Bombyx mori: one gene and its partner. The protein of the gene in region 2 purifies or fractionates together with the protein of the main gene of each other region. This does not show direct contact. Links are inferred from orthologs where the notes say so. Each region holds a gene or a part of one and is shown on either strand. Other genes may lie near its edges. The genes, in order: transcription factor Dp-1 and retinoblastoma-like protein 2.

What was found.
Region 1: the proteins of retinoblastoma-like protein 2 (region 2) and transcription factor Dp-1 purify together in Drosophila melanogaster (affinity purification with western blotting; 4 studies listed by BioGRID, with this or other methods). This does not show direct contact. The link is inferred for Bombyx mori from reciprocal best matches to the Drosophila melanogaster genes Rbf and Dp.

What each region holds. Positions count from the first base shown.
Region 1 is NC_085110.1:8,925,133-8,929,686, reverse strand, and holds the start of transcription factor Dp-1, read right to left. Parts: upstream 2,916-4,554; 5' UTR 2,557-2,915; coding exon 2,508-2,556; intron 2,225-2,507; coding exon 2,097-2,224; intron 1,539-2,096; coding exon 1,487-1,538; intron 1-1,486. UniProt on the Drosophila melanogaster protein: Component of the DREAM complex, a multiprotein complex that can both act as a transcription activator or repressor depending on the context. In follicle cells, the complex plays a central role in the site-specific DNA replication at the chorion loci.
Region 2 is NC_085125.1:4,988,272-4,992,106, forward strand, and holds part of retinoblastoma-like protein 2, read right to left. Parts: intron 3,808-3,835; coding exon 3,647-3,807; intron 3,255-3,646; coding exon 3,119-3,254; intron 2,379-3,118; coding exon 2,296-2,378; intron 790-2,295; coding exon 623-789; intron 191-622; coding exon 1-190.

The DNA of each region.
Region 1 (4,554 bases), on a different chromosome or scaffold from region 2:
AGTGCAATAAGAGAGGCGATACAAACGCGTTAGCGCAGGCGTCAGCTCAGGGGCGCACGTTTTTAGAACCACTGCAGGGTTGCCGTCTGGCCCACTCGACTTATGAACGTCCAGGAGTCGGAGTTCCCACCTGACTGCACACTGTGCAAAGTAGATCTCCGGCAGGGAACTATCACACCGGGGGATGTTCGGTGGTGTGGCACCCCCGTCGTTCAGTCGAGTTCGAGGCGAAGAGTCCCCTATAACCTCCATATACGCAAATTACCCTTCCCTATTCACGGTTACTGTATTCGCGGCATATTTTTATTATGCTTCAACCCCGCGAATAATAAACTTTTACTGTATAGAGACTAGTAAACGTGATCTTTGACTATTGCAAAACAGCCTTTAAGAACAAGGTTAGACAGTGGTGACAATAATTACAGACTCAACAGGAAAATCTCCACTGCGAAATCGGAATCGTAAGACACCTGATGAATTTATATCAAGTGATGTGGCTATGACAAGGTTCAAAACCTCCATTAATCATTTGGATCTTATTGTGTCTTAAGACATTGTGTAATATCTGTTAGTGGGAAGTATCTTAAGACCACTTGAGTAAATAGATATCACTATTTTGGCTATTTCTGCCACAAAGCAGTCGAGAGTTCTGGTTTGATGGGCCGGACAGCCCTTATATAAAACAATTGATATTACAACTTCAGATCTCTAAGAGGGGTGATACTTATTGATTTATATGTATGTTTATATTGTAGGCATAATTTCTCACCATAATTTTGAAATGTATAATGAAGTGAATTGATGGACTAATTCAAATTATATAAGTTTGTTCATAAATCAGCTTATCTAACATTAATTACCACCATCATGTGGATTATTTTAATATTGGATAGTCAATCAAGATGTTCTTTTTATAGTGTATGTATGTATTAAAAATTAGATTATGTTCCATAGCAGAAGTATTGATACTTGTAAACAGTGATACTAAAACACCCAGAACTAAGATTAATATAGTGTGCAAAATTTTAGTAACAAAATACTTCCTAAATTTGTATATATTTGACATTCATTACTACTTGCTCACTTTATTTTTATTAAATTTTTTTGGATGTAGATGTACCTAACAATTCGCAAAGCACTAAATTACATGTATGATTACATTGAGAAATGAGGTTGAAGTCTCAAATGTATGCAAGAAGCTAAATTATTTGCTATTACACCATGCCTATTTCTGCTGTGAAGCAGATGCATTTCACTTTGAAGGGTGGAGTATATGTTATTATACTGTAAAAACTGACATTTTAGAACTTGTGTCTCAAGGTTGACGGCGGCATTGACTGTTGATGTCTCCGGTAACCACTTAACACCGGGTGAGCCATGAGCTCATCCAGCCATCTAAGCAATAAAATATACAGTTATATATTAAATAGGATTCTTGGTTACTTTCTACTTTCTGTCAACAAACCCTGTCATGCTGAAAACTTACTTTGTTTGTATTGAACAATTCCAAATCTTGCAAAACTGGCTGGAACAGGTATCTGTTAAAGAGTATACTCATATAAAACTGAATGGTAAATGATAATCAAATTGCTAATTCTGGTTTGGTACCTATTGACCTATGTAAGATGTAAGTACTGAGACTTTAGAACTAGTCTCGTGGTGGATGGAGGCAATTACATTGTAGATGTCCATAAGCTCCAGTAACCATTTTAGACCAGGTGGATCATGAGCTCATCCACCTATCTAGTAATAAAAAAATACAAGAACTAGGGAGTCCTCATTAGTTGTAGAATATTTTTCAAATTCAAATCAAATTACAGTAGGGCATAAGGGCATAGGTAGGCTCAGTTCACCCAACTAAATCTAAATTATATTAGAACCCCAAAAGCTTAGGTTAACCACAGTGACAAAGGAAAGTAATTATTATTATATTTCATGTCATTTCGTTCGTTCTGTTTATTAAAAGTTTATTCAACATATACATTACTACTCTAACTAAAAGTTTAGTCTAATGAAGCGTAAATAAATAATGTTTATAATAATATATGTAAAACATATAGTGGTTTCATATATAAAAAAATTGCGAATAATCATACCTTTGCACATTTGACCGGAACAGGTGATACAGTAACAATTTTAACTGGACTCTCTTTCGGTTCTGCTTCGATTTGAGCAATCAGTGGTTTACTTGTAGTTTCCAGCACTTTCACCACTTGAGGAAGTCCTGCAGGACATATCATCGAGTCTTTATGTATTTATAATCTAAATTAAAGACTTACTGAAGCGTCGGTGCCATCAGCTGATTGAAACAAAAAATATCTCCGTAATAAACAAACGCTGTGATGATGTTTATTTCGGCAGAATAAAAGGCGTCGAAGATAATAACTAAAGCTAAGCTACTAGTCTTGAGTTTGGTCCAATTGATCTAGGCTTTGTTTGCAATACAAAGTCTTAAATCCGATAGGAAAAACAAGTGTCACGTAAACTAAAGTAGCACCTCTACTAACCGTTAGCATCATGGATAAGGTAATTTATTGTACTATTAGTTTGGGACATTTTCTCCACACTCCTTGAATTTGGACGTCCATTTATGTTTCATAAGAACAACGTAGGACAATTGTTGATGACGAAACAAATTAAATAATACCTACTCAATTCGTATGACCAAAATCACAGGTCAAAATGGCGACAAAAATATGGGTTAGAACCAAAACTATAGCCAATTTTTGAACCGATAAATGAACCTTTTACAGTTTAAAGTTTCTATTAATATATGTAACATTGATAAACTTTTAACATTTAATTAAAGTATATTAAATGCGCGAATCCAAGCACCATCACCAACGCAGCGCGGGACGAGAAGGAAACGATGCAAGAGGCGGGATTTTTGGATTTACCAGCTGATTGGATGAGGTAGTTCACGTGGTACTATTCAATAGTTGCTAGATGTGAAAAAAAAACAAAAAGGCGCCAATTCTCAATCGCCATTTTGTTTTTAGGTGTAGATGTACGCATTTAATGTCCTTGCCATCGCAAGAATTTAAAAATGTTTTCCGAAGTGCGCCATGCATGAGGTTAATTTAATTATTAAACTTCATGCATGGCCCCATGTCTTTCTTGTTCATAATAGTCTGTTCGGATTCAGTTTCTTCACGTTGTTACGTTATTTTTCTACAATGTTATGGTCACTTACTTTTTTTTTAGTGGTATAGTATCATTTCTGATATTTTTACGATTATGAAACAATATCACTACTCGTTCTTCCAGTATTTATTGTAGAACCTTGTGTATATATAAAAACTAAGCTACCATAAAAAAGCATTTATGAGATTACAATAATTTTTTTCCGGCCCTTGTTGGCAGACGAGCATACGGCCCACCTGATGGTGAGTGGATGGACTTCAGCAATGCCAGGGGCAGAGCCAAGCCGCTGCCTACCGCTTAATACTCTCCACAAGCCTCGTTTGAAGACGTACATGTCATAGCGCACGGGGAAACATCGTGGAGGGAAGCTCATTCCATAGCCGGATAGTGCGTAGCAAAAAAGACCTCTGGAAACGCACTGTGGATGACCGCAGTGGCTCCAGATAGTATCATCTCGAACAATTCCTCAGAGCACTCCTCATGGAATATACGGTACAAAATACAGAGGGAACCGAAGTCCCTCCGTAGACCCAGAGGTTCCAAACGATCCGTGAGAATGGGATTATCGACAATCCGAACGGCCATCCTCTGTATGGAGTCAAATGGCAGAAGCTGGTATTTTGGAGCCCCGGCCCAGAGATGGGAGCAGTACTTCACGCGAGGCCGGACTTGTGCTTTATAAAGCAAAAGCCTTTGTTCAGGCATGAAGTACCGCTTCGCTCTATTGAAGACTCCCAGCATTTTGGACGCCAACTTGGCTTTGCCTTCCAAATGACTCCGAAACTGGACATCGCTCGAAATGTTGACCCCAAGTATCCCGATACTCTCGGAAGATTGCAGGGATACTCCTTGGAATTGCGGCGCCATGACTATTTAATGTCTACAAATATGATTATAGGTTGAATCTCAATAGTCTGCGGGGATGTATTATTAAATAAACATCATCAACTCGATACTTCTTAAAAAACACTATCTCAAACTCACATACTCGTTTTTCCTAAAACCAACAGCTATCGAACCATAGCTCAAACTGTTATTGTAATAGATTGAGATACCGTTAGCCCCTTAGGTTGAATGCCCAATGCAGGTAATAAATATGAGACTATAAGAACTTTAGAGGTTGAGAAACATTAGTACATGTCGATTTGATCAAACAGAGATACTTTTCTTTTTAAATATAAATAAATCAACAGTTAAAATTAAATTTTTTTAGACTGAAATTTCCCATGTTGGCTTTGTGTTGTCTGCTATCCATCAACAATTTAATCATACGTTTTACTGGTTGTTGGTACGCTTAACATTAAAAATCAAACAGATAGTTAGCATGGCACATTATATTTTTTATTTTTTTATTGCCTTTGTAGGCAGACGAGCATACGGCCCACCTGATGGTAAGTGGTCACCGTCGCT
Region 2 (3,835 bases):
ATGTTCCTCTTTGATGATATGTTCAAACACCTTATAATATAAACATGTGACCATATTACAGCGTATAGAAATTGTCTCACTATGCGGGGTATTGTGTGCTTCCTTCAAGCTGGCCCCAAATTGTTCCATCCAACCATTGCAGGGTTTTATTAGTTTTGCATTTATCATTTCATCAGTTACGCCGCATTCCCTGTTGAAATAGGATTAATTTGAATAGTTTTTTTAGCGCAGAAACCTTTTTTAAATGCCTTCTTGATTAAATCTAACCATTCAATAAAATACTTACTGTTTGTCACAATTTATAGTAATTAAAACGAAACAATAAAAGTATAGACATATACATCAATATATATAGGCAGTCGTAGATAATAGATTAATTGAAAATAAATTGGTGAAGTAAGCATCCATTTAGTTATATCGTTATATATAGCAAGAAAATATGTAACTTAATTATGGGATATTTCTGAATTTGGTAGGTGAGTAGTATTTGTATTGTGATATTTGCATAAGTCCTACGGTGTTGTTACCTTTTGATATGAAAGTAATTGCACATATACTATAAGCCCTACTTTGAGAAAGATAAGCGATTATGACAGTTGAGTGGCTGAATCGCAGTACTCACGTGAAGAGCCTGAGCAGCGTGGGCGAGGGTTGGGGGCGCGCGTGTCGCAGCGTGGCGGCGAGGCGCGCCAGGCTGTTCTTGGCCTCCGACACGGGCGTCAGCTCCTCGCTGCGGCGCGACAGGTAGCGCCGCCCCGTCAGCGGCGTGTCCGGGCACGCACGACCGCTCTGTACACAAACATTACTTTTACTCAACGGTTCATTGTATTAATTAAGTAACACATTCGACTACATTGGATTTACTGGTGGTAGGACATTTATTTATTGAAGTTATACTTCTTTAGGCGCGTTATGAAAAACTGATGTGAGTGAAATTTTAAAATGCGCGCGCACCGTGACAAAAAATTAACAGAAATGAAGTTGCCCACTAAATCGCTCATTACAATACGACCGACGTAACTTGGCGAGTCTGAATATAGCCGCAGGTAAACTTTCGCGCATTTACACTCGTAAAAAAAAGTGTTATTAGCATTCATTTTTTAGTAATATAAATGACAAAATTATTATTTAATATAATTCATACTAAATATTATTAAATTATTAACGTTAAATATTTATTATTAATTATTTAATATTTAAAAAAAAAAGACAAATTTAATAAAAATAAAGTATAATTTCTTGCGTGCGTACATAATTTTATTTATTAATTTTTTATTTATTTATTTAGTCTACTTACAAATTAACAGTATAAACCAAAACATTTGTAAGGTACTAATAATTAGCTTATGTAATTTCTAACAACAACAATAAATCGCTGATTTTGTTATGCAATAACTGATAGTAATGCACCATAAGAGTCATTTTCCGTCTCAGCCCAAGAGTATCTAACCCGACCATACCAGTCACATAAAGTGATGAATACAAGAACGGATAGTATCCATAAATTTTCTTGAATATAGTTTTTCCAGCATTAGCTTTTGAACAGCTTCGCGAGGATCCCACACGAGTGCGTTATATTCAAGACTACTTTGCAAAGACATTGCGTGAATCCGCACCCCGCCTATTTCTGCCTTGAAGCAGTAATGCGTTTCGGTTTGAAGAGTGGGGCAACCGTTGTAACTATTCTGAGACCTAAGAACTCATCTCAAGGTGGGTAGCGGCATTTATGTTGTAGATGTCTATGGACTCCAGTAACCACTTAACACCAGGTGAGCTGTGAGCTCGTCCACCCATCTAAGCCATTCAAAAAAAACCTAGTAGCTGAAACACAGCATTGATCAGTATACAGAAACGAACGAGATTTGGTGGTATTGTTAATATTTTAAACCAAATCCTACCTCATTATTTGAATGTTAATAGTTATTACTACAGGTATATAGTGCTAACAACAAATTTATAAAGATTCAATTCAACATTGTGCATTCGATATTTAGATCACTTATTTAATCCAGCATTGCATAGTATAGTATAGTATAGCTGCGTATGTATATAGTATAGTATAGTATGTACTTCCAAATGTGAGAGTAGACTAAAATAATTGAATATTTAACTACTTAACTTTGAATCTAACAATGTAAATATATAAAAAATCATGAAGTGGATATTTAGATATCTGTATTTAACGTTCCCTATGCATTCCGTCAATGATACCCTAAATATATATCTCATTTATTGTTAGTTGGAGGCAGTAAAGTACTATGAAAAATTCCAAGTGTAAACATAATATAAACTTACAGGACCGAAATTAGCTATTACTTCTGAGATCTCATCACCGGACACTTTGTTCTTCATTCCAATTTGTTCATTTGCTTGTTCGCCTGCAAATAATATTCAAATTTAAATTTATAAATTAAACTTTATAAGGTTAGGTTAAACAGTTAAGCATGCACAACTGAAATGCTTTTAATTGGCATTGCTTACATTTAAATTACATTATTACAAATCAGTGCATTCTTACTGAAACACAACACATTCATAAAACCTACTACTAGTTTCATAATAACTAATATTTATAATCTTGAAGGTAAAATTGTTTCTATAAGAAACCATTAATGAAGTTTGTAATCAATATAGTCATATCTTTGATATTAATATTCCATACCTTCATTAGTATTATCAATAAAATATGTTAGTATGGGATTTAAATTATATGTTGACATCTTAATTAAACAAAATTCTTTAAATTTGACAGTGTCATAATGTCAATTAAAAGGAGTCAACATTTTTCAGGTTTGTTGTTTGAAATGATCAGTCTACAATAAAAAGAATTGCAATAATTCCAGGAAATTACAAAAATAAAGGTGAAGCTCAAGTGTGCTTAATGTAGTTGGTATATATATTGAATGTCTGTTACTTAAATGCAACATTATGATGTCTATGGACTCCAGTACTGACTTAACACCAGATGGGCCATAAGCCTGTACACCCACCTAAGCTATAGAAAAAAATACATATTAGATGACAAGCATTGATATATTAAACACCCATTAATAATTCAAAAACATTTCTATACTTTGAAGACATCAATTTTTTTCATTTGTTATCAAGTGTGACTTACCTAAAAAAATCCTTTCATCAAATTCTCCTACACTGAGAACATATGTTTCATACAAGTTGTTCAGTGATTTAAGATTTACATCAAACACTCCCAAATCTAGAATTCCAAGCGTAGGCTCACTATTGCCTTTCAGTATCTATAAATACAAATTACATATTATATAATCAAATAGTGTTATAAATCTATATACGCACCTCCATACACAAAACAAGTACACCTAGATCTTGTATTACTAATAAATAAATAACTGAAAACAAATCACATATGGTAACTTGGCCCCAATTTAGGATTCCCTGTGTTATGGGTACCAGCGACGGGCAAACATACTTATGTACATTTCAATATATACATATTGTAGATAGTAAGCACTCAAACAGAGAGCAAGTTAACCTATTCATTACATAATGTTTTATCAATGTGGGAATCGAACCCACAACCCTTGGCGCAACAGTCAGGGGTACTAATTACTACACCACCAAGTCAGTCAGTGGTATACAAAATAAACTTGTGATTTTATATTTATCTTACCCCTTTTTCAAAAAAAGAATCAATAACAGGTTTCCAGCTATATTCTTTCATAGTGGTTGCCTCTTTCGATAAGCCATCCTTGATCTCACATAAAGTAGAAATTACACATGGAGGAGTTTTTGGCATTTTGAAATCATTTTTAGTCCAATCTGTAGGTAATCCTAGAACAAAAAAAAAATTTGATCTATA